Macaca fascicularis: one gene and its partners. The protein of the gene in region 2 interacts with the protein of the main gene of each other region in a pairwise test. Links are inferred from orthologs where the notes say so. Each region holds a gene or a part of one and is shown on either strand. Other genes may lie near its edges. The genes, in order: PHF1, HSD17B14, CA8, MPG, NEK6, SNAPC3 and TBC1D22B.

Region 1 (4,281 bases), on a different chromosome or scaffold from region 2:
CCATTTTGGGCCAATAGGAACCTCCTGGCCGGGTGCGGTGGCTCACGCCTGTAATCCCAACACTTTGGGAGGCCGAGGCGGGTGGATCACGAGCTCAGGAGATGGAGACCATCCTGGCGAACACGGTGAAACCCTGTCTCTACTAAAAATACAAAAAATTAGCCAGGTATGGTGGAGGGCGCCTGTAGTCCCAGCTACTCAGGAGTCTGAGGCAGGAGAATGGCATGAACCTGGGAGGCGGAGCTTGCAGTGAGCATCGAGATCGAGCCACTGCACTCCAGCCTGTGTGACAAAGCAAGACTGTCTCAAAAAAAAAAAAAAAGAACCTCCTTCAGGTTGGCGCCAGTGTCCTTTAGACAGAACTCAAGCAGTCTTTTCAGATTCAACTTGTACATTTCCTCCCCAGATTTCAACTGATCCATTTTCTAAGGAGTCCTAGTTCCTAAATGGGTGTTATTACTCTTTTATCTCGGTTTAAGTATTTTACAGTGAGAGAGGTTGGAGGTCTCTAGTACAGGGTATTGCTGGAAATGAAAGCCTCCTCTCTCTGCTCCTGTATTTTCTTCTGGGGCTTCTATCTCTTCTCAGGCCTTTTAACCTCCTCCAAACCGTGTGCAGAGGAGAACCAACCATAACTGGGACCAGCCTGAACCTGCCTTTGGAGGCCTTATTTCAGTATTTCTGAGGGCAGCCCTAGCATTGGAGGATGGAAGGAGATCTTGGGGAAAATGTATTGGTTACTCTGCAAACTTTTATCCTGTCTACCCCCAGGTGAACCAGTGTGTTATTGGTACTGCCCAGGCCAACAGGAAGTGAAGACGGATCCAGATCTTGTGTTGGGAGTGTGTGTGTGTGTCTGTATCTGTATGTGTATGTATTGGGTGAGGAGTGGGAGGGTTGCTGGAGGGTGCTTTATTGGGTAGAGGGCACCATGTCCCAGGGCTATCAAATAAAGAATAGTTTTTTTTTTTTTTTTAAATAAAGGTTTATCTGCCCAAGAAGGCAGATATTTTCATATCTGTAAAGGTGGGAGCTGTGATCTGTCCCCTCTGCCAAACGTTTGTGTGGGAGGCGGGAGCGGGGGCTGAGGGCTTGGGCTTTTCCTCTCCTTAGCTCTCACCGGTTCTGGACCATGGTCTGGATCATTTTCCCCTCTGCTAATACCCCCTCCCCCGTCCCTCACATCAGGGAGGCGTGCCCTCTAGCTATCCACACCCTCTCCTTGGTCACTAGTTATCTAGATAAGTTTCACCCTTCCGCCGGCCACCCCAGCCCCAGGGAGCAACGTTCCTTTGGTGGGTGTCGGCAAATGGGGACCGGACCCCGGAGTCCAGAGGCGGGGCTAGCGCGCGCTCCCAAACTGCTGGCTCTTTCCTCCCGCCCTTTCCCTGCCTTTCCGTTCGAACGGCTGGGGCTCTGCCCGCTCGTTGCCCATTGGCTGGCTCTCGGTGGCGTCACCGCCTCGGGTCCTTGCCCCCTTCGTCTTTGCGCCAGCCCTGGAAGCACGGGGCGGGACGTACCCGGGAAGCGGCGCGCACGCCCGCCGACTCCCTCTCGCCAACCGCCGACGGCCGCCGCCCCGTGAAGGAGGAGCTCAGTCCTCCCAGGTGCCGCGCGCAGGAGGGGACACGCGTGCGCAAAAGGGCGGCGGGTGGGGCGCGACTTGCCACGGGGAGGGCGGGGCTGGGGCTAACGGCGAGTGGAGGGCGGGGCGCGCGAGGGAGGAGGGCGTGGTGGGGGCATCGAGAAGGGTGAATGGAGGGCGGGGCCGTGAACTGGGGCCGGGGGGCGGGACTTGGAGTGACCATGGGGGGTGGGGCAGTTAACGGATGTGGCATGGGGCGGGGGACCAGTCCGGAGGCGCGCTGCCGGGAGGGGGGATTCCCTCGTGCCCCAAGGGCGAGTCTCAGGTCGGAGGAAGGGGCTGAGGGGATTCCCTCTCCCACCGGGTCCGACTGTTTGCTTCCCAAGCCGTGGAGGGCCTGCCTCTTCCTCGGCACCCTCCAGGCCTGTCGGAGGTGAGGGAGGTGGGGTGAGGTGGTGCCCGCCCCCCCCTCCGGCTCCTCCTTCCCCCCAGTCCTCCCCTCCCACCACCCTCCCCCCCAACCGGTCCGTCCCTCCCCTCCCTCCCCCCCGCCGCCTCCTCCTCCTGCCGCTGCTGCTGCTTTGGCTGCTGCGTCATACGCCCCAGAGCCGCCGGGACGGAGGGGCTGGGCCTGGGGACCCCCCGGCCTCCGCCTGCACAACCCCCCCACGCCCGGACGTGCCCTCTCCGCGCGGGGGACTCGCCTAGGTCTCCTACGTCTGCCCCTGCCCGGCTCCTGGCGGCCCCAGCTGTCACCGGTAAGGAGGCGGCAGGAGGCGCCGGTGGGGGGCAGGGAGCCGGGGGTCGGCGCGGGGCGCGGGCGGGAGAGCCTCGCCGCCTTGGCCTCGGGTCCGAGCTGGGCCGACTCAAGTCCCTTCTCGGACTTGCGGTCCTGGGGAGTGGAGACCAGGACTGGGACACGCCCCCCTCCCGGGGCACTCGGAGAAGTTGTCTAACCCGGGGGCAGGGAGCCCCGAATTTGAGGGTGACCTGACATAACCTGGCACCAGGATGATTGTTCTTAATGAGACACGCAGGCCTGGGGAGACAGCCGTTTCTGCTCTGGAAAACATCTCCAGAAAAGGTCCCAAAACACATCTCTGGGCAACAGGACACCCTAATTATGATACCTCTAAACTGAGTGGTAGCCTTTGCTTCTACAACCGTAATTTCTCCTAAAATTTCAAGGCCAGGATATAATATCCCAGGAGAGCTCTGGAAGCTGGGAAACTAGCAACTAGGTTTGGGGTTGGGGGGAGGGCAGTTACCGTGAGGAGAGCCAGTCACTAGAGTTGAAAGAGGACTCAAGAAGCTGGTGATGGGTGCCTGGTGGTTTCCTATCCAGGTGTCTCAGGGATTTGGAGATGGGGGCACAGATCCTTCATTCTTGACGGCAAAATAGGCAAAGAAAATGGGGAAGTTGGCCGGGCGCGGTGGCTCACGCCTGTAATCCCAACACTTTGGGAAGCTGAGGTGGGTGGATCATGAGGTCAGGAGTTCGAGACCAGTTTGGCCAACATGGCCAACACCCCCTCTCTACTAAAAATACAAAAAATAGCCAGGCGTGGTGGTGGGTAGACCTTTAATCCCACCTACTTGGGAGGCTGAGGCAGGAGAATTGCCTGAACCCAGGAGGTGATGGTTGCAGTGAGCCAAGATTGTCCAGCCTGGGCGACAGAGCAAAACTCCATCTCAGAAAAAAAAAATGGGGAAGCTTTCTGAGCATTCATAACCTTCTCCTCCCCATTTCTTTTCTGGCTAGGCCCCCCCAGGATGCAATGGCGCAGCCCCCCCGGCTGAGCCGCTCTGGTACCTCCTCACTTTGGGACCCAGCTTCTCCTGCTCCCACCTCTGGCCCCAGGCCTCGACTTTGGGAGGGTCAAGATGTGCTGGCCAGATGGACTGATGGGCTGCTATACTTGGGTACCATCAAAAAGGTAAGACCTACTTCTGATCTTTTTCCTATTTCCCTTATCTAATTCTGGTTCCCATTTCATTCTCTTTGCTCACCCATTCCAGGTGGACAGTGCTAGAGAGGTGTGTCTGGTCCAGTTTGAGGATGATTCGCAGTTTCTGGTTCTATGGAAAGACATTAGCCCTGGTAAGACTAGAGACCTGAGATTGCACATCCCATGGAAAACAAACCTGGCTTAGAGGGGCAGAAAGAGACTTAAGGGCAGGCCCCGTGACACTGTGTTCTCTCACAGCTGCCCTCCCTGGGGAGGAACTCCTCTGTTGTGTCTGTCGCTCTGAGACTGTGGTCCCTGGGAACCGGCTGGTCAGCTGTGAGAAGTGTCGCCATGGTGAGAGGGCAGGTCACCTGAATGGTCTAGCTTGCTCTTCCCTCCAGGATGGTCCTTATGTCACCTGTCGTGGCCTTAGTCCCCAAGCCACTGCTCTGGCCAGGCTGCTTAGCCCTATCTTAGTCCTCATCCCCTTTCAGCCCAGGGAGAAGCAGCCATGGAAAGGGGTGGTGTAACCTTTGCAAGCAGAGGATGATTTAACTGCATCCTTTTCTAACCATATGACCTTGGACAAGTCCCTTAACCTCTAGGAGCCTCAGTTCCCTGACTCGTAAAATAAGGATCATGTACCCTCTCATCAAGAACATGGTCAAGGATTAAATGAGATGGGTAAAGACTATTCCTGTCCCAATACCAAGCACACACAGGTATGCAATTAGTGGTCTACTATTA
Region 2 (4,150 bases):
CTGGTCAGAGCCACACTGCACCCAGGGTTAGGGGGTGGGGCATGGGGGTGACAAGGATTCAGAGAGAGTATAGGGGACAGTTACTAAAGGGGGGCAGATAACAGAGAGATACTGATTAAAAGGAAGAAAGAGGAACCCAGAAATAATGGAGAAAAAAATCAGTTACAGGCCACGTGCAGTGACTCACACCTGTAATCCCAACATTTTGGGAGGCTGAGGTGGGTGGATCACGCGAGGTCAGGAGTTCGAGACCAGCCTGGCCAACATAGTGAAACCCCGTTTCTACTAAAAATACAAAAATTAGCCGGGTGCGGTGGCTCATGCTTGTAATCCCAGCACTTTGGGAGGCCAAGGCAGGCGGATCACCTGAGGTCGGGAGTTCAACACCACCCTGACCAACACAGAAAAACACCATCTCAACTAAAAATACAAAATTAGCCAGGTGTGGTGGAGCATGCCTGTAATCCCAGCTACTCAGGAGGCTGAGAGAGGAGAAACACTTGAACCCGGGAGGCGGAGGTTGCGGTGAGCCGAGATCGCATCATTGCACTCCAGCCTGGGCAACAAGAGCAAAACTCCGTCTCAAAAAAAAAAAAAAAAAAAAAAAATTAGCTGGGCATGGTGGCACACGCCTGTAATCCCAGCTACTCAGGAGGCTGAGGTAGGAGAGTGGCTTGAACCTGGGAGGCAGAGGTTGCAGTGAACCAACATCACGCCACTGCACTCCAGCCTCAGTGACAGTGACACCTCCAAAAAAGAGACAGAAAAATCAGTTACAGTTGACCCACTTTGAGGGACTTATTCCTTTCCACCCACGTGTCAGATGTGCTAAGAGCCTTGGAGAGGTGGGAGAGAAGGAACATGTGACCTGCTCGTCAGTCACAGAAGATCTTGTGTGTGGAGTGACACTGGTTGGAAACCTTTGACGGGTCCAGTGGAGCCAGGAGAGGAAGGAAAAGTAGAGGGAAAGGCACATGCAAATGGCTGGAGGAGAACAAAGAACTGGTCATTAGCGGAGATGGGGGTAGGAATGGGAACTCGGCTCACCTTCATATCATCTTCCTGAGTCACATCACAGAGGATAAAGACAGTTCCAGGGAGCTCCTGCTCCAGGGCCCGGCCCCCAGACTCTGCAGGCAGAAAAGAGCTGGGAGCCTGGAGCCCTGGGCCTGAGGGAGGAGGGTCTGGGGGCCTGCAGATTCCTGGGTCTGAGGGAGGAGGGGCTGGGGGCCTGGACTCCTGGGTCTGAGAGAGCAGGGGCTGGGGGCCTGGACTCCTGGGTCTGAGAGAGCAGGGGCTGGGGGCCTGGACTCCTGGGTCTGAGGGAGGAGGGGCTGGGGGCCTGGACTCCTGGGTCTGAGGGAGGAGGGACAGGGATCTGGACTCCTGGGTCCAAGGTAGGAGGGGCTGGGGCCCTGGATTCCTAGGTCCAAGGGAGGAGGTGCTGGGGCCTGGACTCCTGGGTCTGAGGGAGGAGGTGCTGGGGGCCTGGACTGCTAGGTCTGAGGGAGGAGGGGCTGGGGGCCTGGACTCCTGGGTCTGAGGGAGGAGGAGGGGTCTGGACTCCTGGGTCTGAGGGAGGAGGGGCCGGGGGTCTGGACTCCTGGGTCTGAGGGAGGAGGGACAGGGGTCTGGACTCCTGGGTCTGAGGGAGGAGGGGCCGGGGGTCTGGACTCCTGGGTCTGAGGGAGGAGGGCCTGGTGTCCTGGACTCCTGGGTCTGAGGGAGGAGGGGCTGGGGATCTGGACTCCTGGGTCTGAGGGGGGAGGGACAGGGGTCTGGACTCCTGGGTCTGAGGGAGGAGGGGCTGGGGCTCCTGGACTCCTAGGTCTGAGGGAGGAGGGGCTGGGGGTCTGGACTCCTGGGTCTGAGGGAGGAGGGGCTGGGGGTCTGGACTCCTGGGTCTGAGGGAGGAGGGCTGGGGGTCTGGACTCCTGAGTCTGAGGGAGGAGGGGCTGGGACTCCTGGACCCCTGGACTGAGGGAGGAGGGGCTGGGGCTCCTGGACCCCTGGACTGAGGGAGGAAGGACCAGGGTGAGGGCTGAGGGCTGAGGGACCCTCACTCACCATCCTTGTCGCAGATAACCACTTGGGCCCCGCTGTCCACTGAGAATAGGAAGGCAACACGTTACCCTCCGAGTCTTGGTTAAAGCCTCTGCCGCCCTCTTGTGGCCACCTGGATTGGGGCCGATCTCCGTCTCCCCTCGTGACCCCAGTCTCATGATCACCCACAGGACAGAGGGCAGAGGCCTTGACACATACTCTCCTTGCCTGCCCAGGTTTCTGCTGAGGCTCCTGATCCCCCGTTCGTGGGTTCCAGAGCAAACTCCACAACTGACAGGGCCATTCCCCAAACCACTGGTTTTGCAGCTATACCAACAGACCCAGAGAAAGGGGCCACTGCCTTCGGAGACCCTGCCAGACAGCCCTAGCCTACCGCGCCACACGCTTACTTTAGCCTGCAAATTGGCTTTTATAAGATCAGAATCCCGGCTGCAGTATTGGAGACCCTATTTTCCGCCCCCATCGCCCCGCCCCCATCCTTCCTCTCTCACGCTCCACAGCTCCCAGCAGTCAGACCCGGCTCACCGAAGGCGCGCACGATCCCAGCTCCGATGCCGCGCCCGCCCCCGGTCACAACCACCACCTTCCCGGCATAGCGCGTTCCCGTAGCCATCCGTGTCCACCGGTCTCTCTCTCTCTCTCTCTCTCTGTGTCTCTACTCTGGGCCTTTTTCACCTCCAAAGCCACGTGAGGCCGTCGCATCAAATCCTCAATAGAAGCTGGATCGTGGAAGTCCAGCCTCGGGGGGCGTTGCCAGGAAGGCTAGGGACCTGGAAGTTTGTCCCCAGCCCCTCCTCCCTCAGACACTCCTCTCCTCCCACAGACACAGGAATCCAGGAGCCCCAGTCCCTCCTCCCTCAGACCCAGGAGTCCAGCCTCCCAGCCCCTCCTCCCTCAGACCCAGGAGTCAGGGTCCCAACCCCTCCTCCCTCAGACCCGGGAATCCTGACCCAGGCCCCTCCACTCTCAGACTGAGGGATCAGATTCTCTATCCCTTCCTCCCAGAGACCTGTAAGTCCAAGCACCCTGTCCCTTCCTCTCTCAGGACCCAGGAGTGCACGACTCCGGCTCTGCCCCTCAGAGACCCCAGTGCAACAACCCCAAACAGACAGAAACAAAGCTATTGACTAAAAGTTCAAAGTTTTAATCCAAATTTAGACAGTGTTGAGAAAATCAAACTTTGGCCATAGAAACCATTTCCCTCCCGGACGGGCGATGGGGACCAGACCACGCCCCTGATGCCCTGAGTGGTCCCAGATCTCCGGCGGTACCTCCAGACCACGTGCTCACGCTCCGATTGGCTGCCACGTTTGGGCGGGTTAGAAGCTGGACTGTAGCAGAGTGACTCGCAGAGGCCACGCCCCCTCGTCTTGGGGCAGGACCGGAGGGGCGATCCCGGCATCCCACGTGGGCCCCCAGGGGGCGGGACTTCCTCCACGCCCACTCCCTCGGCGAGAGAACCCTGTGGAACCCGAATTAGCCACCGGGGAAGATCTTGGGGGAGGGGTCTCCTGGCGCGTGGGGTCCGAAGGAGGCAGCGGCACACGGGGAAGAGGGTCTCCCCGGGAGTCCAAATTTCCACCTAGAGAGGATGAGTGGGAGACATAAGAATGGCAAACTTCAGCAGCAGGACTCCGGGTTCCCAGGCCCCTCCTCCCTCAGACCCAAGAGTCCAGGCCCCCAGCCCCTCCTCCCTCAGACCCAGGAGTCTGGACACCCCAGTCCAGACCTCTTTCAGACTCAGATGTCGGTCCTCTCCCCGCCCCCTGACCTCTTCCTCCCCTCCTCCCAAGTGTCCCGGAACCCAGTCCACTCTTGCCTGAGACCTAAAACTCCCAAACTCTGCCCAACTCTTTCCTCGCCAACATAAAAAATTCCCACCGGCCCCTAGACCCCTCCTCTCCAGGACCTGGGATTCCAGGTCTCCAGCTTTCTCCTCCCTAAAACCCAGAAGTTCAACATCCCCAGCCAGTCACCTGTCATCATTCTGTGCCACTGCGACGCCTCAGTAGCCAGGGCTTGGGAGAGGCTGAGAACCCGCTCCCGGTGACCTTCGGAAGTCGGCAAGTAAGGGGTGGTGTTCCTT
Region 3 (4,246 bases), on a different chromosome or scaffold from region 2:
AAATTTACATCTTAAACTGACTCTAAGTACATATAAAGCCCAGAAACTCTTTTGGGCAATGCTCACATGCTGACTAAACTCACAACAGCAAGGGAGACGACATGAATCTATGACTATCTCATGGATTCTAAATTAAAGCTTAGAAACATTTACAATGAATAAAATAAATCCATAGTTGGATATCAACAGCTGCCTTGATTAATAACAAACCTAAAGATTTTATGGTTTGAGGCATCAACTTTATCGACTTGGAATTAATGTTTGAGCACAGTCTCTATTTATCAAGTACATCCTAATATTTCAACATACTTTATTTTTTCCCAAAAGAAAAAGATAGTTATTATTCACTATGAAATGCATGCTATTAATGCTACATTTTTTAAAAATCTGATTTCCTCTTTCCTACAATAAAGCCAAAAACTGATTTCCTTGTTAATTGCCGAACACCTTTTCCACAGAACATTTCAGATCCATCTCAAATAGGTTTGCAAGGGGTAGGGGAGGTTTCATGGGATGGAACTTAAATAAATAAATAAATAAAAGCAAGAGGTTTGTTTACCACTTAAATCTCTGACTGAGTTTAAAGGGTTTTTTTTTTTTTTACTGTTATTAGTTGAAATTATTTTCAGCAAATTAATACAGTAGAGAAAATTAACCTGAGAAGTTTACCTTGAATGCCACATTATGTCAATAAATCCTAATTTTTGGTTTCACAAAGTAGCAAAACAGAATTATGATTATCTAAGTGATTTAAGCTAACCAACAATGTTGGACAAAATGCAGATCAGTGCACCTGCATGTACCTGTCCTCATATTTCACAAGGTATAAGGTGATCAAACCAATGTTGTTCCAGTAACATCGTAAGAAGCAGAACAACCGACTGATAATCATCATAATTTCACCCTTTTATCCTTTCAAAATTGTTTCAGAAGGTAATTCCCAAAAATGCTTTATATTATAATATAAAGGTATCCTGAACATAGAGATACGTCAGTTGTACTTTTTAAATTGTGCAAGTTAAATCACAGTTCGATAACTCCATGCTGACTTCTAGTTTAAAAGACCACACAAACATATTTTCTAAAATACCTGATTTTGACTTCAGGATAACCTGAATGGTATGTCCATCATTGGTGACTTCACAGTCTCGGCAGACCACATAATTTGGGGAGAGGCGGACATCCAGCAGTGAGGGGTCATACCTAGCCTCTCTTGAGTTTAGGTTAATAGGAGACTGGTATTCCCCATTAGCATCAGGAAACACCAGACCCCACTCAACACCTAAGAACAAAATGAAATACATTAAAAACAGGTTAAAAAATAAGTTACAGTAAAATTTAACATGTAAAAACCAAACACTTAGAATCCTTGATATTATGAAGACAGTAATGATACCATCACTATACAGATGAAATATGGTAATTCTATGTGTTTTTGCATTCATTATTTGAATGATCTGATATTATCAAATACCATATACAAATTCCCGGACTAACAAAATATTCTATTTGTATTTGTCAACAAAGACATAATAATTTATGACTCTAGGAAATGTGGGTCATCTTTAAGTGATTAGAAAAAAAGAATACCAGAACAATTTCTTCTGCTTATTAGTTCAAAATTACATTCAGTATTTGGGAAATAGCTGTAACTTTAAACATACATTGTGACAGTCAAAAACCCTAACTCTCATGCTAGTAAATAGACGCCCCTTATCAGAAATGCAAGTGCAGTATTTTAAAGTGTGCATATGTATATATCTATGTACATATATATTCCCATACTCTTTCCAAATTTTTTATAATTAAAATTATATATTCTATATTGGTTTCAACATATGTAGTAAACATCAGCACTACTGGTTGGCTCTAATAGGAGCCCTAGGTCTTTAATAAATCTAGGAAACTCTGGTTTTTCAGAGAGTCAACCGCTTCTCGCCAAACCCAACGATTCAGTCTGAAATTTAGGACATACTTTAGAAAGACGAGCGTTGCTAGCAGGCTTCACGAAAAGACCAGAGGCAGAAACACTTTCTCCCCAAAGTCTTCAAGTCAAAAAAGAATTCTTAACACTAACACTGTCTTCCTCAGGTGTTAAGTAAAATGTACCGCTGCTCTTCTTGACTACTCAGAAGACATAAAAGGTACAGCCATGGCTTGGAGGCTAGCCCGCCCTCCGGACCGCAGCAGGTGCGAACGCCAGCCCTGCAGAAGGCTCCCGGGCCACAGCGAAGGCGGCGGGAGAACGCAGGCGGCGAGCACGCCTCCCTGGAACGCCTCCCGCCCGAAACGCGCCAGGGGAGTGGGAAAGTGGCGGAGACCCCCGTGGGAAAGAGGGGACGTGGAGGTGCTCGGAGCGCGCGGCAGCAGCAGGACTCGAGTCCCGCGCTCGGCGAGACACTGACGCCGCCGCGGGACCCTGGACACCCCGACTCGTGGCCGCTTACCTTCCTCGTAGCCCCACTCCACACCCTCCTCCTCTTCCTCCTCATCCTCTTCCTTCTCGGGGAAGGCGACCGTATCTTCGATGAAGCTTAGGTCCGCCATGGGAAGGCCGTGGGGCCCCTTGGCGCTCTCGGCGGCGGTGCCTGCGCCTTCGCGGGGCTCGGGGCTGGAGCGGGAGTGGAGCGCGCGTGGGGGAGTGTGAGCGCGCGTGAGCGGCAATGTGGGTGCGAGCGCGCCTGCGGGTGTGAACTGCAGTGTGAGTGCAAGCGGGCTTACGTTCGGCCCGAGTGTTCCAGAGACCTGCGCGGGGAGCGCGTCCGGAGGCCCCAGCGGAACAAGGGAGCCGCGGTGGCCTGGGGAGCGAGCGCCTGGCGAATTTTATACCCGGCCGGGGCGTGTCTGGCACGCGAGGATCCGCCCCCTTCTCTCTTTGGCCGCGGGGGCCAGGGAGCCGACAGTTAGAATGGGCCTTGGGCGACCAGTCCCAAGTCACGGAAATGTCGACGCATCCCCGTCCGCCCTTCCCCCGGGGTCGCCCCTGGTGCTTCCTCGCAGCGGAGACTCCTGCTCTGCCTCCCGCGCCTTCCTTCCAGAAGCCCGCAAGTCTCCCAAGGTCAGCCCTCAGGACCCCTGTGTTCCTGGCCTGGTCCAGAGGCTGCTCACCTATTTATTTTCATCCGTACTCCAGGATGCCAAAAAGAAGGGGTCCTGGAGGAGAGAGATGGGCTGCCATGGGTAGGAGAAAGGAGAGGGCTGGGAGACCCCATAACACAGTAAAAAGAGGCTCTCCAGCGGAATCTTAGTATTTTCTGAGTGTTTACTTTTTAAATCGTCCGTTCAGCATAGTGGAAACGAGTATGGAAATTTTTCCAAGTAAGTTCTATTAATTCCTAAAAACGTTTAAGGAAAGAAAATAGTTGTAATCTAGAGAAGTAAGATATGATTTAGAGATTTCCTTTTTTCTTTTTTTTTTTTTTTCCCCTCCAGAAAAAGGTATTATTTCAAAGGCAGGGCTAGCAGAAGGCAGTAGACAGAGGGTGTTCGGTGTCAGAGTCTGGGGCGCTGCTGCAGGCTCACCTGGCTGTGTACACAGCTCCCAGTCACCTAGTGAAATTGTGTAAATAATGAAGTGCACACATTGCATAACAAACAGGAACTCTTCTGATCCAAAGAGGTGGCGTTGTTACTCTTAAACGTGCTTCCCAGTCTAGTGACTTCAGCCCTCTGTTCCTGCGCCTTTTGGAAGCCCTGGTCAGTAACCCCTAAGTAAGTTAACTCCACATTTTTAGAAGATATATGTGCACAATAAACTCGGGTTAGGACCTTAAGTACAATTTGTTTTTTATATGCTCTGGTCATTCATGAAGATGACTATTTGCAGTTTGAATGGCCTGTTCCTAAATCACACCAACCTTATGAATGCATGATTCCTCAAATAAGGATGGAAATGATCTGTTTGGGAATGTTTAGGTTCTGTGCTCATATCCTTTACTGCCTGCTAAGCACCTCCACTTTTTAAAAAGACACCTCATAGCCTTTAAAAAAAAAAAAAAAAAAGCTATTACAGACTGCTCCATAAAGTACACTGAGATGGAAAGAAGTTGGGGGAACCCTCAACTCACTCAATTCTGCCACTTTCTGGAAGGTTTAACCAAATAGATGGAAAGCTACTGGCCAACATTAGCTTGGAGGATAACCCGTGGATTTTAAGCATTCATATAATTTCTCTTTTCCTTAACTGTGCAAAGTACTGAACCAGTGTGAGAAACTAAATTCATTCTTGACTCACTGCATTCTGGGT
Region 4 (2,359 bases), on a different chromosome or scaffold from region 2:
CTCCCTGGAACCCCCCTCTGTGGCCACCCTGAAGAATGTGCTGAAACACTTGTGTGGCCTGTCCCCGTCTCTCTGACAGCCTTCCATTTGTGAAGTGCCCTGTGGCCCTGTCCCTAGCACCACCTCTGTCTGCCATGCACTTCTTCCTCCCAGGCTGCCATGAGCCTTTCCTGGCCCAGCCCTCACCACAGTCCATGGAAGCCACAAACAGGCTCATAGCGAAGCTGTGACCTGGTCCTGACCATCTGGGGCGCGAGGGCCTGAGCTCCCCTGCTAGGCTGGAGCAGCCCTGTCACCTGTGCACATCTTGCTGGTGGAGGCATGGCCCACTGTGCAGGACCCCACCCTCGGGGGCTCTCTGCTCCCACACTGATGATTCTCCCCAGCATCCACACTGGGTCTGGCACTACGTACTCAGGGCCCCCAGCCCTCGTGTCCTGGAGGAAGAGCTGGCTCCAGACACATGCTGATCACCTAGAAGAGCTCTGGCTAAAGCGCAATTTTCTAGAAATAAAACATTTATTTGTTTTTTAAACAATTAAAAAATATTGTCTGGGCAGGCCCTTTGCTTAGACCTGTGTGTCCTGCTCAGCCACTCTGTCGACCACACTGACCCAGGGGCTGCCCCGGACATAGAAGCGGAGGGGTTTCCGGGCCCACTCCCCTGCATAGCCAATGCCCACCCGGGCTGCTGTCACTACAGCTGGCTCACTGGGCTCCAAGGGACCACGCTCCAGCCATATAGCTTCATCCTGTGCCAGGTCCCTCTGGTCAAAGCTCTTGTTGATGGCCAGGGCCTGGCACAGCTTGGAGGGGCCACTGCAGAGCTCACGGTCCTTGAGGACACGGCTGGCGGTGCCTTTCCGGAGGGTGCTGCGAAGCTGACGCATGGTCTCCAGACCTTCCAGGGGCTCCAGTGCTCGCAGCAAGACGCAAGCCCCGTCCCCTGTGGGATGGATGGACAATGTGGAAGTGGAGCCTCCCTAGGCTCCTGTCTTCTCTGCCCTAGTGCACATCCAGACAGCTGCCTTCCTGCCTGGGCCAGGGACCTGCTCTATGCACCTGCACCGTCTCCTGGGTCTGACCTGGTGGGAGGGGGCTGCACCTCACTGTGTCCAGACCCCTCTGCCTACCTTGCCATCCTCCATGCCTGCACCATGAGGTGTGCCTCCTGTGGGCACCTCTGGCTGCCACCACCAGGCAGTGCCTCCACCACTGTGGCCGCCCTCACAAAGCCAGACTGTTAAAAACACATGATGAATGCCGGATACCATCTCCTTTCTACCTGGCTTCCCCTGGTCTTGTGACTGGCAGCAGCTATGAGGCCAGCAAAGGAAGCTCCAGAGAGCCAGTCCTCGGTTGCGATCATTCTGCCAGGAAGCAGGAAACCTTGGGCCTAGCCAGGCCCCAGGGCTCCCCTTCTGCCTCACCCACTCAGCATTTGTGTTGGTCAAGTGGTGGGGGCTAGGGGTTGGCTTAGAGCAGCTGTCAGTGTGCACCGGATGTCGGGAGAGCCCATGCAGTGACTCAGTGGAAAGACGGACTGCCACACCCTGCACAGGCAGGGCAGGAGAAGGCTGGCGAAGCGCCCCTCACCTCCCTTGGGATCCTTCCTCCAGCCTAGCCCCTCCCTCACCAGGCCAGGCCACTTGAGAAGCAGAGACAGCAAGTGAAGGCTCCCGGGCCCAGAGGCTCACTCAAGCACAGATATCTGAATTTCCTCTGCCCTGCAGGTTTGGAAAGGTCCCTTGGATTCCCGGCTGGGGACAATGATGACCTGGACCCTGGCCAGAGGAGCCCTAGCCCTCCAGCAAGGCAGCTCCCTGGAGACACCTGCTGTGACTCACCTGTGCACCCCTGGCCCTCCCAGCCACCTGGGAGTCAGAGGCTTAGCCCAGAGGTGGCCAAGCCAGTCCCCACTCTTGGGCTGTGGCCATGTGAGCCTCTGCATCAGCAGCCAGGGGCGAGCACTAGCGGACGAGGCCATGCCCTCCAGCAAAGCCAGCAAGTGCGGCATTCCTCTCAGCAGATACCCTTGACCAGCCAGTTGTCAAAGTATTTCAAGCTAAAATCAAGGCCAAGCAAAGCCTTTAAGTTCCCGTCCATTCTGTGGTTCCCACGCTGCTTCCAGCTCACCAGGTGGGGCACCCGCTGCCCACCCTGACCCACCTCAGTAGGAAGGAGCGGGACCCTCTACATCCCTGTGAGTGCAAAACACATGCCCCTCACGGTCCCACTGAGCCCCCACAGAGCCGCCTGCAAATGAGTCAAAGCCTGGCCGCCCTCATCACCACACCCCCCTGCCCTGGCTCCTTCACACACAACACATCCAAGTCCCACATCCTGACAAAAATACGAT
Region 5 (4,285 bases), on a different chromosome or scaffold from region 2:
CCATCTCAGTGTTGGTGAGTGGACTGGGGGAAATACGGCACCAGACGTAGCACACAGTATATCCTCAATAAATGCGGACATGGCCGGGCATGGTGGCTCATGCCTGTAATTCCAGCACTTTGGGAGGCTGAGTTGGGTGGATCACCTGAGGTCAGGAGTTTGAGACCAGCCTGGTTGGCCAACATGGTCAAACCCCATCTCTACTAAAAATACAAAAATTACCTGGGTGCAGTGGCATGTGCCTGTAATCCCAGCTACTCAGGAGGCTGAGGCAGGAGGATCACTGGAACCCAGGAGGCAGAGGGGGCAGTGAGCTGAGATTGCGCCACTGCACTCCAGCCTGGGCAACAGAGACGTTGTCTCAAAATTAAATAAATAAGTAAAAGTAAATGGGGACCATCTGTCATGGTGCTACTTTAACGAAATTATGCAGGTCACGTCTCTGAACCTCGGTTTCCTCATTTGTGAAATGGGGATAATAAACCCTATCTACGATGAGAAGAAAATGAACGGATGTGTGTTAAAGTACTCAGCACTAGGTCTGTGCACCTCAGCCAGTCAAATACCATATCCCAAGTGCAGTGGAAAGAGGAAAGGCTGTGAGGTTGGGCAGGTGACTTAGGATTCTGCCCCCACCTCCTCTCAGCTGCCCCAGGACACAGGCTTGACCCCCGTGTGCCTCAGTTTCCTTGTGCACAAAACCAAAAGCATTTTCTGTCGCAGAAGAGCACTGGGAGATTCACACACCCTAGAACGGCTCCCAGCACACAGTCCCTTCTGCTCTGTAAATGGGAACCTCCTCCCCATTTCCCTCCTCTGCCCTTGTTCAAACCCACCAGAAATGCCACCAGTTAAAGCCGGGCGCTCCATTTCTGGAAACCCAAACAGCTCTAAATCCAGACCAACCTGGGTCTAAGGCCTTCAGTCTGAGACTTTATTTTGTGGAGATACAAACTACTTTTTAGTCATTTCCGAAGCAGACGGGACGGCAGAGGCTGACAAACCACAGGGACCATTTTAAATCCTGGGCCTTTTCTTCTGGGAAGTTAGGCAAGAACCTTCCCAAATGTTTGCCCATCAGGCTTTCTGCCAGGGAGTGACTCATTCCACGGCTCCCCACAGGCATATTTTATTTGGGGGTGGGGGATGCAGGGAGGGCTTGGCCTTGATGGGGGAAGGAGAGGGGGCATTTCCAGCAAACTCAGAAGGTGTTTTCTTTTTTTCATTTTCAGGACAAAAAAGAAAAAGAATGTGGGTCTTTTTTGCTTCCTTCCAGGTTTTGTTTGCTAAAAGAAGACGTCCAAAGTTCACTCGGTAAGCTCAAACTCGCTGAGTCCGGGGCAGGCGCTTCCAGCCGGCTCTGCGTCCCTTTCAATGAAATTCTTCTTCCATTAACGACACGGTTTTTAAACGTGCCTTCAAGACCTGCCTGCACGTACTGTACACCAAACTAAGGCGACATTTTCCCCCAGAAAAGGCAAGCTGAATTTGGAAAAGTCAGAGCAAGTAGGGAGCTCTGGAGTTTCTAAAGTTTGCCTTAAAACAATTAAGACTTTCAACTGCAAAGATTTTCAACAGTTAGAGAGTGCGCACACACACACAAAAGCCTGTCAGTCAAAACTGCAAGGACAGACCTCGAAAGCTGGTGTCCCAAGCCCGCTGTGATCAATTTGTTACCGTCCTGGGACTCACACTTGGAGCCTAAGCGAGGTATACATAAATCAAAAGATCCATCTACTTAGCAGGGCGGGCAGAGAGGCACCCACATACACAGGCAAGTATAAGGTCAGCCCCCCAGGCCTGGCTGAAAAGAGTCAAGAACAAAGACAGGGGAGCCCGGAGGGTATTTAGGAAAACACCGTCCTCGGGTGCCCGGCCGAGGCCCACCACAGCCTCCGCTCGCCCAGCCTGTGTGTGCAGAGAGGGTCCTGCCAGTGGCCCTGCCACAGCCTGGTTTTGAGACCTTCGCCTCTGTCAGGCCCAGCCAGGCTCTGAGTCTGTCCTCCCGGCCCCTGGTTCACCAGATCAGGCCCAGTCCTGACCCCCAGCCCATGCCAGGCCGATTCTCTCTCCACGGGCTCCCTGGCTTGGGGGCCATCACTGTGCAAAGGCCTGGTGGGCGCAAAGGGGGCCCTCAACCTCAGTAATAAACACGCTCGCGCGGTCCTGCACACTCGTTATACTCACACCCACACAGGCACACTTTCGCCCTCCTGGGCTCACGCATGTGCGTGCACACAAATCACTTTGGAATGCACACACGTGCACACACACACTCCCTGAAACCCGCACGTACTCCCTGCGGCGCCCGGCACACTCCTCCGCCCGTCGTCCCCACTCGGGAAGTGGGTAGCGGGGAGCCATGCCCGCGTCCCCGCACGCACTCACCCCAACAACGCCACCAGACGCTCCGGGGTGCACACGCACACCCGCCGGGGACGCGCACACCCCGGGACACGCGGACACGCCGCCGCCCCCGCCCGCGCCCGCCCGCCCGCCCACCGACACGCTCAGCCCCGCGCGGCCACACGCGCGCCCGCCTCCCGCTCTCCCCCGCGGAGCCCCGGGCGCGCGCCCGCCCTCGGCCCGGCTGGGGGTGACGGCCCAGCCGCCCGGCCCCCGCCCCTCCCCGGCCCGCGGGGCCCCACCGGCCCGGCCCCAGCCCCAGGCTACTCACCGGCGCGCGGGCGGGCTCGGCTGCCGCGGGGGGACCGGTGCGCGGGCCCGCGGGCGGCTAGAGCGGTGCGTCCCACACGAGTTGGCGGCGCCGCGGCCGCACGCCAGTCCGCTCGGTTCCGCCGCCGCGCGCGCGCGCGCCCGCCCCTCCCCGCCGCGGGGCCGCGCCGCCCCCTGCGCTCGTGCGCGCTGCCGCCACGCAAGCTTGAGGGGCGGGGGGCGCCCCGACGGCGTCCTTCCTGGGCCTGGACCCCTCGACTCCGCCAAGTCCTGCGGCCGATCCGCTCGGCAGAGAAACCCCTTCCCCATTTCAGAGATGAGAAGACTGAGGCCCAGAGTCACAGGGCGCAGGCCGGCGTCTCCCCCTCTTCTCTGGCTTTAGACTTACGATGAGGGTCTGCAGGCAGCCAACCCTTGAACTCCTCCCGTGCATCTTCGGATTCCCCATCACCTAGCATTGCTCCTGCCACAGTCCTAGTTATACTGAAATTGGCAAAGTAACAAGCACTTATTTTGCACCAGCTGAATGCAGGCACTGAAGTAGGCTCCAAGAGTATTCCGATGAGGGGAAGGCCCTGTCCCCCGCCCTCAAAGTGCCAGCGACTCTTCATCTGGAGCTCCCACTTCCTGTGGCCCCCAGGGTCCAGCAAGAGCCAATGTGCAGAGGTTTCTGGAAGTGGTAAAAGTCCCCACTAAAGAATGCTGAACGCGCCCTCTAGAAGTCAGAGCCTCCCTGGGACCCAAGCAGCTCAGTTCTCACTTCACCTCCTCCCTGCGCCGAGAGCAGCCGCTCCTGGCTGGGTCGTTTCCACCCCTGCCGCTTCCCCTCCATATTCAAAACTGCGCTGCCCCCCAGGAGGGCTGGAGCTAGGGACACTGACTGCCTGCTGAGGCACAGCACTGTACTGGGCACAGGGTGAATGCGTGTCGGGCTTCTGTTTGCCAAATGAGTGAAGGTGCTTTAACTGGCCGTGATGTGTAATAATGACACCAACTGAGCGTCCACCATGTGTGCCAACGTTACCCTTGTGCCCATTTTACAGATGGGCTTAATGAGGCTTAGAAATGAAATTTCAGGCTGGTTGTGGTGGTTCACACCTGTAATCCCACTACTATGGGAGGCCGAGGTGGGAGGATGCCTTGAGGCCAGGAGTTTGAGGCCAGCCTGGGCAATATAACAAAACCCCATGTCTATTAAAAAAAAATGTAAGAATTTGCTGGGTGTGGTGGTGCCTACCTGCAGTCCCAGCTACTCGAGAGGCTGAGGCGGGAGGATCTCTTGAGGAACTCTTGTCATAGGAGTTAGCAGCTGTAGTGAGCTATGATCGCACCACTGCACTCCAGCCTGGACAACAACAATAAAAAGCAAATTCTTTTGTTCAGAGTCACGCAGATGGTAAGTGGTTGCGCTAGAAAGTGGACGGCAGATTGTCTAATTCTAGTACCTGTGTGTTCCAATTACTAGGCAGCCCTGCCTCAGGAATAGCATAGCCCTGGGCTGCTGGAACAAGAGGGCAGACAAGGAAGCAGCTGGCCCACAGGAGCCGGCCTGGTCTCAGCTCTTGTGGATGAAAATGCATACATCACAAACCAATGGGGGGAAAATGGA
Region 6 (3,500 bases), on a different chromosome or scaffold from region 2:
AGGAAAAAAAAAAAAAGTAACCTACCTTATGTCAGTAATGACAATGACATGTTCACAGTCTCCCTGATGACAGTATAAGTAAGGAAAACCCAGTTTAATACACAAGTCATTGAAGGTGAAATCTTCCATTCTAGCAGTCTGAAACTTTCCATATCCTCTATCATGGGACTCTGACCACTCAATGATAGTTCTAAGGGGGGAAAAGGCAAGGATATATCATTTTTCCACAAAAACTTAAAAACTACAGAAAACAGTTTGTGACTGCAGTAATTCACATTAACCTAGCTCACCCAACTAACTGGACAGTTGCCATCTTGAGATGAAGACCAAGATGTTTGATACATGTTGAGATTAGGAATGCTGAATTTTCATAAGGGATCAGTTTTCTGCAGGTTACATGATGTGTATCACTTTAGCTTAAATGCAGAATGTGTAACAACGTCACTCATTGAGTTTTGAAAAATATTTTGCACAAAATGTTAGTATGTAATGAGATTTAATATTTCAAATATTTCTTAGTTTCAATGTTTAATATCATAAATATTGATAGTTATAACCCACATAAGCAGAAGCTCATCGAAGTCTTCAATTATTTACAGTATAAAGAAATGCAAGGCTGGGCACGGTGGCTCACACCTGTAATCCCAGCACTTGGGGAGGCCGAGGTGGGCGCATCACTTGAGGTCGGGAGTTCGATTCCAGCCTGACCAACATGGGGAAAAACCCCATCTCTGCTAAAAATACAAAATTAGTTGGGTGTGGTGGTACATGCCTGTAATCCCAGCTACTTGGGAGGCTGAGGCAGGAGAATCGCTTTAACCCGGGAGGCGGAGGTTGCATTGAGCCGAAATCACACCATTGCACTTCAGCCTGGGCAACAAGAGCAAAACTGTCTCAAAAAAAAAAAAAAAAAAAAAAAAAAAAACCAAAAACACTGAAACCAATAGGTTTGAACTGTTGGGTTAGAATACAGATTAAAAATGGCTATAATAAGGCCGGGCGCGGTGGCTCAAGCCTGTAATCCCAGCACTTTGGGAGGCCGAGGCGGGCGGATCACAAGGTCAGGAGATCGAGACCACAGTGAAACCCCGTCTCTACTAAAAATACAAAAAATTAGCCAGGCACGGTGGCGGGCGCCTGTAGTCCTAGCTACTCAGGAGGCTGAGGCAGGAGAATGGTGTGAACCCAGGAGGCGGAGCTTGCAGTGAGCCAAGATCGCGCCACTGCACTCCAGCCTGGGCAACAGCGTGAGACTCCGTCTCAAAAAAAAAAAAAAAAAAAAAAAAAAAAAAAAAAAAATGGCTATAATAGGCTGGGCATTGTGGCTCACACCTGTAATGTAGCACTTTGGGAGGCTGATGCAGGCGGCTTGAGGCCAGGAGTTCAAGACCAGTCTGGCCAACATGTCGAAATCCTGTCTCTACTAAAAATACAAAAATTAGCCAGGCATGATGACACACACCTGTAGTCCCTGCTACTTGGTAGGCTAAGGCACGAGAATGGCTTGACCCAGGAGGCACAGGTTGCAGGGAGAGCTGAGATCGTGCCACTGTACGATGACAGAACGACACTTTTTTTTTTTCTTAAAAGGCAACAATAATATGTATAATTATATACTCTAATTGCTAAGACATTGATAATGAAAGTATGGTCTCATTAAAATGAGCTTAGATATAGATTTTTTCTATATTATGTACTTAAGCAACATATATATCACCATCATCTAGCACAAACAATAGTATATACTAGATAGGCAGAAAAAACAGTGACAGGTTAATTTACCACTATTACTTATATGTAAAGGCCAGAGACTAATAATGCATGTTAATGGGATTTAATTTATTATTATATTTTTTAGAGACAGAGTCTTGCTATATTACCCAGGCTGGAGAGCAGTGGGTATTCACAGGTGAGATTATAGCATGCTATACAGCCTTGAACTCTTGGTCTCAAAAGATTCTCCTGCCGCAGCCTCTGGAGTGGCTGGGACTACTGTACCTGGCTAATTTTTTTTTTGGATGTATGTAATGCTCAAGACAAGATTTATCAATAATTCCTTGGCAAAGGTCCTTAATAGGCCAATAATAGGATTTGTGGAGATAACACTATTTTGATAACTAGAAATAGGAAGGACTTTGAGAAGATTTTTGGAAACTATACCTGCTCAAATCTCTGCATTCCGGGTATCTTTTATCATTATAAAATGTTCCTTCAAAATAAAAGAAGGCTGATTTGTATAGGTCCTACAAGAAAACAGATGGTATTGAGAGAAAGTCAACTATTAACAATTATGAAATTGCTCTAAGTATTAATTCAAAATTTATGTATCATAAAATCACACTAATACAGGTTACAAAAACTGCTGCTACTTTCAATTTTACCCTACTGCTGTTTTAATCACTACGTTTGATTCAAATGTGTATATTCTCCCGAGATTCATGAAAGAAACCCAATTAGAAATCAAATAAACATCATTATTTTATCATATGAATATACAGCAGTAAGTAGTGTTGGATACTAGAACTAAAAATTAAACAAAGTCCTATCTTTAATGTTTCCCCAGTGATAACAATGATCATCAAGTTATGTTTTTCTGGCATTTTTTGTATTTGCAATGTTTTTACAAAAATTCTCTCTTTATATTTTCAGTAACTCTTAGGCAGACAGAATCTGAATTTCTATTTTTACTCAAGCAATCTTGCCCCAGGTACCATAGTTGTACCACAACTGGTGGGAACCTTCAAGGTTTCTTAACTCATTCTACCACAGCTTCCGTCAAAGGAGTGGCTCTCACTCCTGACTGCAAAATCAAATCACAAAAAAACCAAACACCAAATGTCAACTCGGACTCATTAATTAAGAATCTTTGGGGATCAGTATTTTTCCAAAGCTCTCTAGAAAAAAACATGCAACCAGAGCTGAGAAGCACTCTGTTAAACTGGTCCTTCACCATCTATTTAGACCCCTGGATGAGGGTCAGAAGACCTGAGTTCTTTTCCTTAACCTACCACTTACTAGCTTTGTGATTCTGGTATGTAGCAATCACTTCTCAGACCTGTTTTCTCATCTGTGAAATGAGAATAATAGTATATGCCACGATGTCTTACAGGATTGTGGTGAAGACCAAAAGCAATTTATGTATAGGAGATATATGCTTCAGGTACTAAAATAATTTTACCCTAATATTTTATTTTTTTCTCTTACTTCTTTGAAGCTTCCATTTTTCTTTCTTGTCTTCATTCCCCCACTTACAGATCATCTTGTGTTCGCATCAGACACTCTTGTAAGACTGGCTATCTTGTTTCTTCTTGGACCAGTCACTAAATCTCACTCACCCTCTGTTCTCCCATGTAAAATGTGAGTAAAGCCTTTACCTTTCTCATTGGTTGTTACGGAGATTAAAATGTATAATGTACTTAATGTCATATGACCAGCTGCTACAATACAAAATCTGCCACTTAATATACTTCTACACCCTCAAAGAGGTAAGCAGGGTCTGA
Region 7 (3,996 bases), on a different chromosome or scaffold from region 2:
AACAGGTATGTAGTTTCTTTTCGGGATGATGAAAATGTTTTGAAATTAGTGGCGATAGTTGCACAAAACCATCTGTACTATAAATGAATATACTAAATACCACTGAAATGTACACTTTAAAAGAATGAATTTCATGGTATATTAATATCTCAATAAAGCTGTTATTTTTAAAAAGAACGTTTCATTCATTTGTAACTTGTTATTTTATGTAATAAAATTTTTATTTGTTGTCACTAAGGTTGTTGGATCATGATCAGACAGAAAGAATCTTGTCATCGCTTTGATTTTTCACCTTTCAATTTGCAATGAAGAGTAAAGCAGTTTCATTTCCAAGTTGCCATGCGTCTAGTACAGTCATTTGTGTCATTTCCCCACCCAGGAGAAAGTTTTTCTTCCCTAAGACCGAAAGAGTACAGATGCAAAAGTTCTATTCTTGAGAAAATGCTCTAATATTTTCTTTAAATCAAAGTACCTTTCTATCTAAAAGAACCTTAGTTTTCTCCCACGACCAGAGGCTTGTGGGCTTTACTGCTAAAAGCACACAGCTGAAAAATATTTCTCTTTACCAAGTAAGGTACTAAAAATTATTATGAATTGTGACAATATTTGAATACCTTAAAACAAACAAGGAAGACAATGAGCTGGGGTAAGGATCTGAGTAACATTCTTTTAAATGTTTACTTGCTCTAATAATGACAGTAATATTAATAACTACTGTCTTCTGAGCAACTATAATGTGCTAAATAAACACTGTCCTAGGTTCTTTACAAATAGGGTATTTCACTTAGTCCCCACAGTAACTCTGAGGAAGGTATTTTTATTTCTCATTTCATAGATAAGGAAACTGAGGCCTAGATAGATTATTTGTCTTGGTCACACACACAGGAGAGCCCAAATAGTAACCCAAGTCTTTCTGAACTCAAAAGTTCTCTATTTCTCTATATTCTTCGAAATGAAAAGGGAATCCAGAAGCTTGAAGAAACTGAAAAGACTTCTCTTCCTATCTCAGAAAAGTAGTGCTTTAAAAAAGTTGACTGTTCTTATAGTCAAATACAGGAAATACAGGAAAAAAAGATTGTTAATAGCAACCACCAGTCAGAAGGCACAGAAGCACATCTCTTGCACTGCTTCCTGATACAACTGTCTTCCTATTGATTCTGATTATAATCTTAGGATGTCAAAATTTAATGATCTCACTATGGAAAACCCCGGAGAATAGCAGTTAGCACAACTAGAGAGCTCACTAAACCAGGAAGGAAAAGGAATCAGTTGGCAGGAAGTGGTGCTTACCTAAAAACACAGAACATCTTTAACAGTTATATCAACACCGCAAGTCCGCAGCACTTTAATCTGAAGTTATCTTTCTATTATTTAATAAGTATTACTAAAAGCTGATTTCCACCTATTTTCCATATGTCTACTAGGATCCTTAATAAAACAAGACTCTTGGTGGGGCATGGTGGCTAACGCCCACAATCCCAACACTTTGGGAGGCCAAGGCAAGAGGATCACTTGAGGCGAGGAGTTACAGACCAGCCCAAACATAGTCAGACCTTATTTCTATTTCATTGGGGGGAAAAAAAAAAAGTAAGGCTCTAACTTAGCCACTATTGACCCTCATCTCCCTCTTGCTTAAAAAAAAAAAAAAAAAAGTCACGAGTTCAAAAGATCATCCCAGAAAGAAAAAACCTGAATCCATTAGAAAAGGTAGCACGTGGGGCACAACCAAACATGAATTTCATCACCAAGTAGACTGTGGCTGGCAGAAATCTTAGATTCACGACTGAAATACACACTCTTCCTTATACTTCTCAGGACTTTGCCCAAAATAAACTGAAACAGTAAACCAACAGTAGACTGATGAATGGATAATTTGCCAAAAGTCTCAACATACACCACAAAGAGGGTGGGAGTAGTCTTAGGAGGTCTGCTCTCCAGCTAAACAACTGAAGAATGAAAGAATTTAGTGCATTTGCACAAGAAGTGCATTACAATACAGGGGAGGAAGAAGTCACTTGGGGTTGGACAAATCCTTAGAAAATGCCAAAGGAATAACCTGATTCTGTGGTCGCCTTGTAATAATTCCCAGTGGGAAAGGCCAACTCAAGATAAAGTAAGGTCGGAGTTGAGAATTGTCCTCACTTTTCCTGCCTAACCCTCTCGGCAGGCGACCCCAAACTCCCACAAGAACCCTTCGGGTAAGTGCCGAGCTGGGGGAGCAAGCCATCCTCGAGCGACCAACCACCTGTGCGTGGTGGAGACCCCTGAGAGGGAGTCCTAATTAGAGTGGGAAGCAGCTCTGGGGAGGAACCCCCGAGACCAGGGCCGACACTGACTACTCACCCAACTCCACTCCCCTTTACGCCCAATCTTCGGCCACCTTCTCGCTGAGGTCACCCCTCCAGAAACCTCCGCCCCCAGACCCCGGTCTACACCCACATCCAGCCGTCCCCAAAGCTCGCTGTTCGCTCCTCTGCCTGACAGCTGCCCCAAACCAGTCTTCCGGCCTCGGTGGCGCCCCAGGGCCGCGGGATTTAGGGATTAGGATCTGGAAGGGTTTGGTCCAATACCCTCTCCCTCTCAGCGTCCTGGGCTCACCTCCCCGGCAGCTTAGCGCTCCTCTTCCAAAACTGCTTGCTGTTGTCAGCGGCCATTGCTCTGGCAGGGGGAAGGCCTTGTAGGCGGGCCAAGGGGTTGCCTGGCGAGATGCCCCCAGACCCCGCAATCTGAGGGCCAACCCAGGCCGCTTCCCCGCCGCCGGTCACCCGCTCCCAGCTCCTAGGGACGCCATCTTGGATGTGGGCACCCCTCCACCCAGCACCGCTGCCATTGGTGGGCTGCGCAAGCCGTGGACGGGCCGACCAATCGGGAGCCGGAATCCTGCAGGCCGCTGAAGCCAACGGGTAACGTCAGGGTCTGGGCACACAGGTGGACGGGGAAGGCGGAGCTTGGACGAGCAGAGAGGTGGGGCTCAAAGTTCCTAACCCGCAAGAGGGAAGAAGCAGGTAAAGTAAGGGACCTATGGGAAGGAAGAGAGGGGATTATCTTCTTCGTGAGGAATGAAGTTCCTGAGTCTAATATTTTTTGGCAAGAGAGAGCATACTATGTATTTATATATAGGAATATTTGACCTAAAAGTAAAGGCCCATGTGTTTGTTGTGGCCCATTTTTAACATCTCTCAACTCAATGACACTCTGGTTATTACCCTCCCTTCCTCGTTCCGTTTAGATGTCCATTCGTTTTTCTGAAGGTCAGCAGGGACCCGATAGCCCGGGATTGCTAACTGCTCAACACGTGAGCAACGGTTCATCAGAGTCTCCCTCTCCCTCTGTTTATTGAAAACGATTGAAGGACTTGTGCTGTGGGTGAAAAATTCAAATGATCTAATCCCTATGTCAATCCATAACTCTCACTTTCTGACTATGCTAACGGTGTATAGGAAATGGTTTATCATAGCTGTCCAACTCAGATTACCAAATACGATTTCTTTGAAGGACACAGTATAGCTCCATCGTGTGAATCACAAAGTTAAGGATGTATCTCCTCCCGGCCCCACCAACATCCTTAATTTCCCTTGTTAATCTGTTATAAATCTTGCACCCTTGAATTTATTTTCAATCTAATTTTCCCAGACAATGAGATTTAATATTAGCATTTTGAATCCTTTGAATGTCTTGTCGGTGTTTTTTGCTGTTTTTGAGTTTCTGTGGTTGTATTCCGTGGTGATTTGGGGAGAGAGGGAAAGCGGGCACCAGTCCAGAGTGGTTTTTGTCCCATCGAAGGACTGTTGAGGTGGGCTGCGTGTCCCCCACTCCCCCGCCACCCTCCATTTACAGCTACCACATGTACTTCCACATATTGGAGAATACATAAAGACCCGACCCCCGACGGGTATGTCCTCCAACGACGGTTTCTACATTACTCCCATTTTCAAGCTTCTTTTGTCCCCTAATTTTAGAATTATAGGATTGGATGATGAGGGCTATTTTTACTTC

What was found.
Region 1: the proteins of HSD17B14 (region 2) and PHF1 interact in binary tests that used the Homo sapiens proteins (3 or more experiments, as listed by UniProt). The two-hybrid records come from large-scale screens. The link is inferred for Macaca fascicularis from reciprocal best matches to the Homo sapiens genes HSD17B14 and PHF1.
Region 3: the proteins of HSD17B14 (region 2) and CA8 interact in binary tests that used the Homo sapiens proteins (3 or more experiments, as listed by UniProt). The two-hybrid records come from large-scale screens. The link is inferred for Macaca fascicularis from reciprocal best matches to the Homo sapiens genes HSD17B14 and CA8.
Region 4: the proteins of HSD17B14 (region 2) and MPG interact in binary tests that used the Homo sapiens proteins (3 or more experiments, as listed by UniProt). The two-hybrid records come from large-scale screens. The link is inferred for Macaca fascicularis from reciprocal best matches to the Homo sapiens genes HSD17B14 and MPG.
Region 5: the proteins of HSD17B14 (region 2) and NEK6 interact in binary tests that used the Homo sapiens proteins (3 or more experiments, as listed by UniProt). The two-hybrid records come from large-scale screens. The link is inferred for Macaca fascicularis from reciprocal best matches to the Homo sapiens genes HSD17B14 and NEK6.
Region 6: the proteins of HSD17B14 (region 2) and SNAPC3 interact in binary tests that used the Homo sapiens proteins (3 or more experiments, as listed by UniProt). The two-hybrid records come from large-scale screens. The link is inferred for Macaca fascicularis from reciprocal best matches to the Homo sapiens genes HSD17B14 and SNAPC3.
Region 7: the proteins of HSD17B14 (region 2) and TBC1D22B interact in binary tests that used the Homo sapiens proteins (3 or more experiments, as listed by UniProt). The link is inferred for Macaca fascicularis from reciprocal best matches to the Homo sapiens genes HSD17B14 and TBC1D22B.

Annotation. Positions count from the first base shown.
Region 1 is NC_088378.1:138,280,905-138,285,185, reverse strand, and holds the start of PHF1 (PHD finger protein 1), read left to right. Parts: upstream 1-1,481; 5' UTR 1,482-2,343; intron 2,344-3,347; 5' UTR 3,348-3,363; coding exon 3,364-3,522; intron 3,523-3,604; coding exon 3,605-3,686; intron 3,687-3,792; coding exon 3,793-3,888; intron 3,889-4,028; exon of another isoform or gene 4,029-4,214; coding exon of another isoform or gene 4,215-4,218; intron 4,219-4,281. Other genes in the region: kinesin-like protein KIFC1, read left to right, coding at 772-816. UniProt on the Homo sapiens protein: Polycomb group (PcG) that specifically binds histone H3 trimethylated at 'Lys-36' (H3K36me3) and recruits the PRC2 complex. Involved in DNA damage response and is recruited at double-strand breaks (DSBs).
Region 2 is NC_088393.1:56,819,704-56,823,853, forward strand, and holds the start of HSD17B14 (L-fucose dehydrogenase), read right to left. Parts: upstream 2,801-4,150; 5' UTR 2,678-2,800; coding exon 2,590-2,677; intron 2,107-2,589; coding exon 2,068-2,106; intron 1,131-2,067; coding exon 1,048-1,130; intron 1-1,047. Other genes in the region: PLEKHA4 (pleckstrin homology domain-containing family A member 4), read right to left, coding at 3,384-3,646, 4,041-4,150. UniProt on the Homo sapiens protein: Catalyzes the NAD(+)-dependent oxidation of L-fucose, yielding L-fucono-1,5-lactone, which rapidly converts spontaneously to L-fucone-1,4-lactone. Can also act on D-arabinose and L-galactose, with lower catalytic efficiency. Does not use NADPH.
Region 3 is NC_088382.1:70,231,322-70,235,567, forward strand, and holds the start of CA8 (carbonic anhydrase-related protein), read right to left. Parts: upstream 2,801-4,246; 5' UTR 2,548-2,800; coding exon 2,448-2,547; intron 1,283-2,447; coding exon 1,091-1,282; intron 1-1,090. UniProt on the Homo sapiens protein: Does not have a carbonic anhydrase catalytic activity.
Region 4 is NC_088394.1:815,201-817,559, reverse strand, and holds the end of MPG (DNA-3-methyladenine glycosylase), read right to left. Parts: intron 2,087-2,359; exon of another isoform or gene 1,734-2,086; intron 947-1,733; coding exon 570-946; 3' UTR 501-569; downstream 1-500. UniProt on the Homo sapiens protein: Hydrolysis of the deoxyribose N-glycosidic bond to excise 3-methyladenine, and 7-methylguanine from the damaged DNA polymer formed by alkylation lesions.
Region 5 is NC_088389.1:19,820,475-19,824,759, forward strand, and holds the start of NEK6 (serine/threonine-protein kinase Nek6), read right to left. Parts: upstream 2,801-4,285; 5' UTR 2,678-2,800; intron 2,459-2,677; exon of another isoform or gene 2,389-2,458; intron 1-2,388. UniProt on the Homo sapiens protein: Protein kinase which plays an important role in mitotic cell cycle progression. Required for chromosome segregation at metaphase-anaphase transition, robust mitotic spindle formation and cytokinesis.
Region 6 is NC_088389.1:83,399,835-83,403,334, forward strand, and holds part of SNAPC3 (snRNA-activating protein complex subunit 3), read right to left. Parts: intron 2,244-3,500; coding exon 2,161-2,243; intron 191-2,160; coding exon 26-190; intron 1-25.
Region 7 is NC_088378.1:134,396,958-134,400,953, forward strand, and holds the start of TBC1D22B (TBC1 domain family member 22B), read right to left. Parts: upstream 2,801-3,996; 5' UTR 2,655-2,800; coding exon 2,599-2,654; intron 2,476-2,598; exon of another isoform or gene 2,344-2,475; intron 1-2,343. UniProt on the Homo sapiens protein: May act as a GTPase-activating protein for Rab family protein(s).